Linked DNA regions of Arabidopsis thaliana. The protein of the gene in region 2 interacts with the protein of the main gene of each other region in a pairwise test. Each region holds a gene or a part of one and is shown on either strand. Other genes may lie near its edges.

The links.
Region 1: the proteins of AFH1 (region 2) and FIP1 interact in a two-hybrid assay, tested with the Arabidopsis thaliana proteins (one study listed by BioGRID).

The regions. Positions count from the first base shown.
Region 1 is NC_003070.9:9,849,111-9,854,427, forward strand, and holds FIP1 (FH interacting protein 1), read right to left. Parts: upstream 3,340-5,317; 5' UTR 3,191-3,339; coding exon 2,965-3,190; intron 2,880-2,964; coding exon 2,778-2,879; intron 2,366-2,777; coding exon 2,094-2,365; intron 1,465-2,093; coding exon 1,285-1,464; 3' UTR 1,275-1,284; exon of another isoform or gene 1,023-1,274; 3' UTR 734-1,022; downstream 1-733.
Region 2 is NC_003074.8:9,250,524-9,257,058, forward strand, and holds AFH1 (formin homology 1), read right to left. Parts: upstream 4,561-6,535; 5' UTR 4,304-4,560; coding exon 2,430-4,303; intron 2,344-2,429; coding exon 2,138-2,343; intron 1,957-2,137; coding exon 1,712-1,956; intron 1,628-1,711; coding exon 797-1,627; 3' UTR 570-796; downstream 1-569. UniProt on the Arabidopsis thaliana protein: Might be involved in the organization and polarity of the actin cytoskeleton. Involved in polar pollen cell growth process by maintaining tip-focused cell membrane expansion for the polar extension of pollen tubes.

The DNA.
Region 1 (5,317 bases), on a different chromosome or scaffold from region 2:
GTAAATTAATCTGGAAACCGGAGATCGGTTTTATGTAGCTTATGGATTGTGGGGAGGTAAAACGTCTGAAGAGAACTCATGCTCACGAGAAGTAGCTTCTTCTGTGCGTTTACGGCTTTGGTTTTGTGTGTGAAACTTCGCATTATCTTTGTTTTGTGTAGCACAAACACATTTAACACCCGATATGCCATCTTATTAAAGTAATCGAGAAATCGGTTTTATGAAGCTTTTTCATATATAGGGTGGTTTCGGTTTGATATCAAGACTCCCGTAGTCGCAAACACACTCTTACAAAGATGGTTCAGAGCTATCAGTTTTTGCTGTTGTTGTTTTCAACGGATGTATATGGTTCAACTATATTTACATTTTTTTTTAAAAGATCCAACTATATTAACATTTCATGACACAATCACTCGATAACCATTGAATATATAGATATTGTAAGACTGACCATGTTCAGTTAACACAAGAAGAGTCCAAATGCTAAATCTTCAAATTTGATGGGCACTAGTCATAGTTTATATGCTAACAACTTTAATAAGAAATTCAAAGGACGTAGCTCGTTGGTGAGCAAAGAATAAGACGACAAGGAGCAATAGGCTTAATGACAGACAATTCGCTAACTTCTAAAGTTGGTCACTTCGTAAGAATGATACAATGAAGCTTAATATTTTAATATATCATATTAGATATTTTTGGTTTTGGTTTTAATCATTTAGATATTTGCATATAACGAATGCAAGTAAAAAACAATTTAGGCGATTGCACAAACCCCACCATTTAGATTTGTTTCCACATATATACTCAATGTTACTATCTTCCAAAACTCATACCAGATTTGTTTTAAACACATTAAACATAGGATCTTCTATGATGAAAGTGTTGTAATGAGCCCGTGTCACCAATTCTCCCATGCATGCTTATTATCGATTTGGGCTCTTTTCAAAGGCCCATCGGTGATATATTGGGCTTTCTAAATGCTGGTTTTGTCTATAGCGCCCAACTTGATCACCTTTAAAATCCTAAACTCATCAAAAACCAAAGACCGAATCCAACTTAGAACACGAATACAAATCATGAATGTTAGATCTAAAGGACAAGGTTCCCTCAAAAAAAATAAGAAATAATTTTATACAAAAGGAAATGAACAAAAGCAATGTTTATGAGTAAACGCCAAGAGGACAAAATGTAGAACACATTGAAATGGTATCAAATACTAAAACACACTGTTCCATATATTAATGCACAATATCACTAAGAGCTGCCATTTATACCAGTGGACCTTCACGGACCATGTGACTGCACCGCTTCTTGAAGGCTCTTCACAGCGCTTTCATAAGTCACAAACCCCATAAACCAGAACTCGTGGTTGTCGATGGAAATCACTTGTATGTATTTATCAGATGTGTTCACTCTACTTGTTGATGGGTTCACTGCCTTCAGCTGATTCGCCGGAAGTACCACCTGATCATCACATCAAAATCATCAGCCACAGACTTTACAAGGAAGAATGACAGAAAATAGACTGCAAGTGCAAGGTTCTCAAGGAACGAAAAAAGGTTCTCAAGAACCACCCAAATCTTAAAATCAGTTTTCCAAAGATCATGTTGTCAAGAAGCTTTCTGCTTGGTTTAATAGGATTTCAGCTCATGTTAGATGTTTACATTAGAACCAGTCCAAACTCTCAAACTAACAATTATTCAATGGCTCCCCTAGTTTTATCAAGAATGCTACAAGATTTAGCTTACTCTCTTAGGCAAACCACTAAAGTCCTAATTGTCTACATAGGAACTAACATGCAACTACTCAACAATATCGTTAGAATGATTATGTAGTTTCCATTTACTATAAGCGTACACACACTACGTTCTATACGTCAATAACTAGAAATGACAAGAAAATTTGTTATAGTCTATGAATCTATGTAAATAGATGCATTGAAAATGACTTAACTCACTTAACGCTTTATCATGTCACCATCAAATATTACATTCGCTGAATCTTTGTTCTCAAATAGTTTTCTTAGATGTAAATAGATATAAAATAAAAGAGTTAGAAAGAAAAAGTAACCATAGGATAGAGAGCGAGTATACCTTGTAATAGCTCCACAGGGTCTGCTCACCCTCTTTGTAAGAGAGAGGATTGTCACTAGAGAACGCAAGCTTGTGAGTCGAAAGATACATAACTCCCAGGACAGGACCAGCAGATGTAGACAAGTAGCAAGCATAGGTCTTGAGAAGTTTTTCATCAGGAAGGCAATCAAATGTTTGCTTGAAGACCTTCTCGTATCCACCCTCTGCAAGTATTTTTGTCCCCTGAGCAATTCGTGAAACAGCAGCATCTGCTACACTTGGGCCTGTTTTCACTGAAAAAGAAAGGATAGATATCAAAACGTATACTCTCAAGTCTCAATTCATATAAAATATCATCCCTCCCTCCAACCATATGTATATAATACTAATTCATCACACAAGCGGAGAAATAAAGCCAAAACAACCTATACTAGAGAAGCTTCAAGAGTCAAAGGCAATAACCAGATACAAAGAACTAATTGGCTTAAACTCAAACGGAAGAGCATGAATATCAAAATTGTTGGCTAGATTTAGTGTCGGTGGTTGAACGCGAAGTAAAATTCCGAAGAAGCGCCAATTGATGAACACTAACTTAACCAGAAGGGGCATAACCAATACCATCGTATTCTCCAAGAGACGGTAATCAGATTAATTGGTAATTCATCTAATCGAGGGGGAAGAAGAAGAAGAAGAAGAAGCGCTTACAGTGCTGCCAAAAATTTCCGGCGAGATCCTCCGCCTTCTTGGTGGCGTCGGCAGCCATTTTCCCCCATTTCCCTAACGTATCCTTCACCGAATCCATCGTATCTGTCCCCAAACCAAGATCAATCAATCAATCAAAGGCAGAAATTGGATTAGGATGCGAAATCGGATAGAGAGAAGAAGAACTCACTCCTTGGGGCAGGGGAAGGAGAAACGTAAGGATTGGATTCCGCTGGCATGGTGGTTGCGGCGGCACCGGTGGGAATAGGCTGAGGAGGAGGAGGAGTGACGTCGGTAGGATCGAGCTTAGGGTAAGGAGCGTAGTCAGAGGAGTGAGCAGCAGCCTTGGAAGGCTCCGACGCGGCGGCGGGCGTAGAAGAGATCCGGCCATGATCATGATTCTCTTGCCCACTCATGATTTGATGTTTTCTTCTTCTTCTTTCGAAATGAACTTTTTATTTTTTTGGTTTGGGTTAAGTAATGAAATAAGAGATGGTTCGAATCTCGCAGGCAACAAATAATAATTGAATTAAAATGTCTGTCCGCGTTACGTTGGCATTATTAATCGTAAATAATTTAAGTAGCCTCTTTCCCAAAGTCGGTCTAACATATATATCTCGTGCGGTCTTAAACAGTAGACGAAACTTAATGCAATTAGTTTCTGTAACGGATACTAGTATTCAATTATACCTTTCCTCTAGAACATATCCATAATCCATGTATGTACACCGGTTTTGTGCCCGTTTATCTTCCTCAAGAAATTCAGACCTTCTTCACTTACGATTTTTGTTTTAACTAAAAAATATCTTATTCTAACTTTTTGATTGCTTGGTTTATGTTTTTTAGTTTGGAGTCCAGACCATAATCCGTCCGTGTGTATTTGGACTGTAAAAACCCACATGCGGTCCACCCAATTGACAGTTCTAATCATAATAACAACAACAAAACAAGTTAGATTGTAACCGCTATTGATATACCACAAAAAATTGCTATTTTTTCCGATGAAGGTTAAGAGTGTCTTTATCATTTCGGACATTCGACGATAAAATTTTGTTGTGTTGAAAACATAGTTACCATATCAAAAAACTAGTTTTCATCCAAAAAGAAAAGTTGATTCACATTCTTCTTGATGGTATTTAAACGAATGACATTTTTTTGAAGTTTCATATAGCTCAAACACTCAACGGTTTAAATGAAGCTTCTTATATAAACCTCAAAATCAGATTGAACCTAAATGATCTTGGGAACTCAAGTCCGTATCCATAAAGCTTACTTTTTATAATCCAAGCAGCATCTAAGTTACATTTATCAAACCTTTTTCCAAATTTTCTAAGACTATATGTGTACAAGGATTTTATTCACAAAATTAACGGTGTTGAAGAAATTCTACAACATCTTTTTCCAAATCACTTTCAACTTTTAATTCAAACAGTTAACTTGTAAATAGTCTAACTCACTATTTTCTTTACCGCTACAAAATAACGACCGCCAATTTTTTACCATTTTGTTTTTACCGTTTCACTAAATTAATTAACTACGGAGAATGAGAGAATACGTGTTTAACCCATTTCGAGTCTTCTGAACCAGAGAGAGACTCTGGACGTAGTGGCGAGAAAGCAAAAGATTTAGCGAACGTCTCTTCTCTCGTCTCTCGTCAGCATATGCGTAAGAGCATCTCCATTGGTGAGATACTCCATGAGTACCTCATAATATATTATTAATATTTTAATTTAAGTAGAGAAACTTATACTAAAATTGTGCTTCCATTGGTGAAATACTCTTATGAGTATCTCATTAACATTAACATATTATTATATGTTTTTTATATTAAATTTAAAATCTCTACAATATTTTCAAACATATCAATTATTATTTTTACAATTATATTATTAAATAGTTTTATTATTTTTAAAACCATAATTAAACATAATTAAACATAATTAAACATTACTTTACATATAAAATCATAATAAAAAATATATCAATTAAACATAAAATTCCATATAAAACCATGATAACATAAATTAAATAGAAAAAATATATAAATTACACAGAAATTACATATAAAACCATGATAACATAAATCAAAACTAACTATATTATCTATTATGGTTTTACTCTTCATTTGATAATGCACCAAACTTTTGTCATATATGCTCAACTAGGTCATCTTTTAGTTGTTGGTGCATATCTCTATCACGAAGTCGAATTCGATTGCCAAAAATGTTGTAAAATAAAAATAGAAAATTTTAAATGTTTGTTTTCTAATTAAAAAAAAACTATTGTATTTATAAGTTATTATTATGTTTAATGCTTAACTAACACCAATTAAATAATATTCGTATATAATTTAAACATATATATAATAGAGCTTGTTATATAGATAATTTAATTTTATGAATTTTAAAAGTAAAAAAAAAAAAAAAAATAAACATATAAAGTATTTAATTGATGTTATAAAATATAAATGATTTTATTTATAACAAAGAAAAGAAATTAATGACAAGATGACATTTGGAAGAGAGATAAAATTTCTCCAAGTT
Region 2 (6,535 bases):
ATAGAGTTTGCTTCCTCTCCAACACAATTTCAATATTGATTTTTTCACAACAATTTCTACAATTTTAACTCAATTCTTGTTTAATATTCTTTTTGCAATGTATTTCGAGCGTTAGTGAACTTGTAAAATTGTTTGTTATCAGTTATTACATTTTTTAAGATTTATTTTTTTTTGCTATAGAATTTGTAATTTGAATACCCTTGTTCTTGTTGTAATTCTTGTATTTAATATTCTTTTTGCAATGTAATTTTTGAGCGTTAGTAAACTTGTTATTCTTCGTCAGACCCCGAGAATAAAGTTTTAGTGTTACCTGGTAAAATGAGGTCTCCAACACTTTCTTAAACATTTTGAGAGAAAATAAATAGATAAAAGTGGATCATCATCACGATGCAGAATCTAGATGCTCACCTCTCGTCAATTATGTTCCAACTTTGGTTCAAATCCAACAAGGTTCTTTGAAGAAGGTAGAAGGTACTGGAGGTAGTGATTTATAATGATCATTATATTCAGCAACGAAGGGTAAGTAAGTAATATGTTTGCTCTCACATTCTTTCGTGGTACACACGGTTCAGATAAACAAATTTATTTGATTCTTAAATTATTAATTTAAGATGAACAAATTTTAAGGTAAACCTATATTATTTTTTTTACACAAATGCAGAAAAGAAAAACACTTCTTTGTTTCTGTCATTAATTCCCTCCCTCTATATATATATATTTAAATCTATTATGACAAAACAATCCAATACTGGATACTTTTTACAACAACATGCACAGACAAAGCTGAGATCTCACCTTAAGAAACTAATGAGATTGAGTTATGTTCGTCTTCATCAGACGAAGAGGTTGAAGACGACGACGAAGAAGAAGAAGATTGTCTTCGTCCAACGAGTCCAGGAAGAGGTTGTGGCATCATTGGATTCACTGGAACAGGAAACTTATGAGCAGAACTAACCATTGTTCTTTCGTTTATCATCCCTACTTCTTTGCAAACTCTGTCTACTACTCCAAGGAAGTCTCTAACCACCAAGAATATTCTAAACGGATGCGCTTCTTCTTTAGCCGAGTTTCCATGGAAATACTCTGTGATTTCTTTTACAAGTGATAACGCTACGCTCTCTTGAGCTTGTACTCTGATGATCTCTTCCTCAGCTCTTTTCAGAAACGTTTTCATCGATTCCGAAAACCTCTGACTGTTGCTTTCTTCTGTGATTGTTGATTGGACTTGGATTGCTTCGTTGATCTTGGCAATGCCTTGAGAAAGCTTGGAGACGTAGCTGCTTAGTACTTCTGAGTCCATCGCAGCAGCTTTCTTGACGTTACTAAGCTCAGAACAGAGACTTGATACAACTTGGAGACCTAGTTTCCGGCATTTAATGTCATCTGTTTGTGTATTGTTACCTGAGAGACGTGTGCCTTCTGCTCGGATTATCTCTTGTACAACGAAATGCAAGAGAGTTGTTTTCCCATCAGCGCCTTTGACATCGACTAGCTTGAGAAGTGTATCAAGCTTGAACGCATGTGCATCTCCTCGGTTTGTTCCAACGTTCATACGGTTTCCTGTCTTTAGAACCGCTTCAAGAAGCTTTAAGAACATCCTACTGTTCCTCAGTTCTTCACAAGCAGCCTACACAAACAATAGAAATGAAGTCATAATCTGTTACAATACAACCATATGGTAAAAAGAGAGAGAATAGCTTGTAATATATACCTCAAGAGTCTCAAAAGATTTCTTCAAGTATTCAACCTCGGACTCAAAGTTGGCTACATAGAGCATTGCATCAACTCTTTTAAAGGCGAAAGGGATGTCCAACATTGCCTTAAGGAATTTCTCAGCATGTCCAAGCTTAACAGGCGAATCATCATTGTACGCTTTCAACTTGCGCTCTTCTTCTTTTGTCGGTGCCATCTTCAGTAAGCTCTCAAGAAGTTCAGTCCCCAGTGTATCAGCATTGCCTGAAAAAGCATAACTAAGAACATCAATGTAACCAAGAATCTCCACACCATCAAAGAAGCAAAGCTTTCAGAATAACTCAACCATATCATCGAAAAACCATTAACAAATGCATAAGAACTCTAATTCTGGAGATCAAAGGAGAAGAAAATGAGAAACTATGTATGTGACAGCATAGTTTACCTTCAAGAAGAGCCTCACAAACTTCTTCTATAGTGACATTAAGTGCACGAAGCAAGATGGCAATATTCTGAGCCTTCTTCGGGTCCAGGACTCTGTTCTCTTGGTTCGGGCTCGGGAGAACACATCTTGGAGTTGTCTGACTCTGATTTGGTTTGTTGTTTAACGACTTCGCCACAAACAACGTCTCAATCATCTCCTCATCTAATCTGCAAACCACATTCATAATCTCAACAACCACATTCTCACTAAAAGCATATAGTATCATATAAACGAGTATGTCACATTAACTCACTTGAAAGAGCTTGATCGAAGATGATCCCAAACCATCTCACGATCCGAACTTGCTCTAACTTTATCCCAATGTAACGCCTTTAGCTTCGGTTTCGGAGTTTCCTCCGCCGCCTCACTCGCACAAACCGTCTCTGGAGTCTCCATAGGAGACGAAGTCACTGGTAAGTTTTCAGATGGGATCACAAAAGGATGTGAAGGCGGTGTAAGAGAAGGCGGTCTCGAGATTGTGTCCGCTTTAGTAGTCACCTGACTCCGTCGTCCCCACAACGGCAACGGTGGGGGAGGAGGAGGAGGCGGAGGCACACGAGACTGTAAAATTTGAGGTGAAATGTTCGATATCCGTGGTGATACATCTAAGCTATGACTAAAATCTCTATCCGGAGAAGATGATAGAGACTGCGAATTCCGGGAAGATAACTTAGGAGATGTAACTGGTGACTTATGAGAAGCTTTCTCCGGTGAAGAACAAACAGAAGAAGAAGACGACGACGGTGAACGAGAACGTAATGCATCTAACTGCTTAAGGAAACCTTGTCCTCCATGAGAGTTAGAAGGAGAAGATAGTAACTGAGATTGCAAACCTTGCCGGAGATTACTCATAAACGCCGGTAAGACCTCCGGAGATTTCTGAAAACATCTATACGGTGATGTAGAAGCAGAAGAATGCGACGGAGATCTCAAGTAAGCTTCTGGTGTATCATTTGGTCGTCGTTCCGGTGAAGTTGAAGTAGATGATAATGGAGAGTTCTCTTTTTTGTTATTCTCCGGTGAAGTTGTTAGAGATGTAACCGTCGGAGATCTAAAGATTTGATTCAATCCTACTTCATCGGAGTTTTTCAATCCCGACGATAAAGAAGCTAACGACAGTGACGGAGACCGAACAAATCTATAATCGGTTAACTCCGCCGGTTCTGGTGTGGAGATAACCGGCGGTTTTGGTTCAGATCTCTTAGGACTCATTGAAGGAGAGATACTGATAAATGTTGATCTTCCTGGTGAACCAGAGCTTGAAGATGAGCAAGAGATAGTGTCATTGTTAACAGATCTAGGATTTTGACCCGGAAGTCCGACCCGGTTTAACGGTTCTCGCCCGCTTTGTGAGCCACGTGGAGAGTAAAACTCATCTTCTTCATCTTCTTCTCCGATTGAACCAACATCTGGATTTAAACGGAAACTTCGTTTCATCAATGGAGGAAGTGGTTGAAGATCTGGAGATTCAAGTTTTCTTGAGCTTGATCCATTATTACTAAGAGATTGTTCATCGATTCCTCTTTGATTCACCATTGTTCCTAAGTAAAGAAACTCAGAGCTGTTGTTATTGGTGGAGCTCGTGGTGGTCCTCTGTTTACTTCTAGCCTCCGCATTGCGTCGTGTTGGAGGCGCCGTTGCCGGAGGAGGAGGGTAGACACGGCGGCTACTGTCGGTGGTGTATGTTTTGCTATCATCGGAGAAGTTAAGATCTTGGTTACGTTTGCTTCTTCGCCAATAGAGTAAAGCGATAAGTAGAGCGACTAAAGCAGCGGAGGAAACGGCGGAGATAGCGACGATAAGGAGTTTTTTGGAGTTAGGTGGGGATTTAGTGGCGTGAGGGACGATTAGAGATGAGATATTCGCCGGAAAAGAAGCGAAGGAGGCTGGAGAAGGTGGTGGTGGAGATGAAGGGTATAAAGGGAAGAAAGGAGAAGCATTTGGGTCTGATGAAGATGGAGGAGTGGTTGAAGAGAATGGTAGTTTAGGAAGTGGTGGTGGTGATGGTGGTGACGGTGGTGGTGAATCTATAGGGAAGAATGGTTCGTGGAGTACACGACGGTCGGCGAAGACTAGATCGGAGGATGAAGATAAGAGTAAGTAGAAGAAGAATAAGAAGAAGAGCATTGTGTTATCTTCTTCTTTCTTCTTCAAGAGTTCAAGATCTGAGAAAAGAGAAGAGAGAAACTTTTTGAATAGAGTGATGAATCCAGCTAAGATTCTGCTGGTGATGGTTTGATAATTTTGTTTTTGGTTTGTTCTCTTAACTCAGTGATGGTGAGAGAGTAGTAGAGAGAGTAGAGAGAAAGCCAAAAGAGGTGATGGAAGAAGAGTGGTTGATTCTTAATTTTATTTTTACGTAGTGGGGTCCATTTCAGACAGTAACATATGAGATTATAACACGTAGGATAAGACGTGGACTTTGTAATAGTCCGCAGAAGTGTACACACTGAAAGTAAACACTGTTCATTGAATTGCACCGTACGCACAATGTTGAAAATAAAAATGCGAGTGGATTTTTATTTTATTAAAAAGTTATTACGGCGGTTTGACGACGTCTGTAATAAAGAAAACATAAAATAATGGTGTGTTAATGTTTGAGGAGGAGGAAGTGGTAGTGGGTGTATTGTGCTGAGTTCTTTACTTTATTTTGACCGACACTGTCTCAGGATGTGTAAATGGTCGGTTCATGTGCTTTCGCCGAATGCTGTATGTACAAAGCGTAAAATTGGAGGACAGGTCTAACTGGTGTAGATAATAAGGAGGAATTAGGACATATGATGAGAAACTTATACAGTAGCATCGTTTGATAAAATATCGATCGTTGCAAATAGTTAAGTTAACCATAAACTTTTAAATGGCTACATCATGGTTCATGCAATAACCATATCTCTAAATGCGTCCCTTAAATCTTCTTAATAAGCCAGTTATACTTCCTGCGTCTTATGCAAATGTCGACTGTGTGAATCCTCTTTCTGTTTTGGGGCAACAAACATTAGACCACAACATGGTTTTGTTTGTTTTTGTTGGATTTTGCAATCATAAAAATGGCACTAGAAATTGATGGTATTGAATATGACAGAAATACTGAATTTACCAGGACTAGGACTGCAAAATTTATCAAATTTAAAGCAAATAATGTCTGATTCTTGTAAAATTTGTGGGCCTGTGAATGTTAAGAAAAACTATAAAGTGAACTATTAATAGTTCATATAAAAGTTCAAATAAAAAGAGGTGCTAGAAAACCATAATTGGACTAAGAAAGGGAGTAAAATAATTGGTCACGTGGGAAAGCTACTGAAAATGTAAGAGTACAAGAGTATCAGGAAACCACCGACACACAAAATTGAACTTTATACTTTTATATGCAAAAATACCTTATAAGTAGTCTCATCGTTTTATTTTTAAAATTTATATAGTGTTTCAAAAAAAAGAAAATCATTGCGGATGGATGAGTAGTTGTTTTACGTTTGTGGATGAGTTTTTATTTTACACCATAGCGGATGGTTATAGAAGAACCTCTAAAACTATCTCCATTGGTAGTATCTCATAAGAATTTTTCATAGTTAAAAAAATAAAAATAATAAAAGTAAAAGAGAGATTGTAGAAAGTTTCTCGCTTCAGAAACTTTGAGATACTTTTTACGATCCATCATGACAATTTTCTTTTTACTATTGGTTTAATTTTTTAACAAAAATATTTTTTTAATCAAATAATCAAATTATAATATAATATTAATATTTTTTTGTTTGAGAAACTTTATGGATTTCTCGTGGATGAAAATGCCCTAAATATTTAGTTGAAATTGTAAGAGTGATGAATCATATATATGAAAGTTGGTCAACTCTCTTCATATGAGTGATCATACAAGAAAATGACATGTGTCATTCTACATTAATTAAATAAACAAATTAGTAAAATTAATTGAGGAAAAATTAAAAGTTTTTTGTTGTGTTACATTTTCTATTAATCTCACTCTTAAAGTGAATTTTCTAAAAACATTCAATAAATAAAAAATCATAATAATGTATCAAGTACTACTTTCATTCTATTTTACTTATTTTTTAAAAAAAATTTATCAATAGTTATTAATCCATAATGGCTAACATTTACGTGTGTTGTAGTTTAGATGTTTGCTATCTAACCTCATATTAATTTAGTAATTTTAGTTGGATATTTTCTTATTATTACGTTTTATGTGAATCTTATTTATCATATGACCTTCTTTATGTTTATTTTTGTGCGGTCTGATAACTTGATAACATTGATATACAATGTTTTCACGTAATGGTCATCCGAGGCATTAGACATATCCACACAGAAATATGAGAATCTATATGGCTATATGCAAAGGAACGG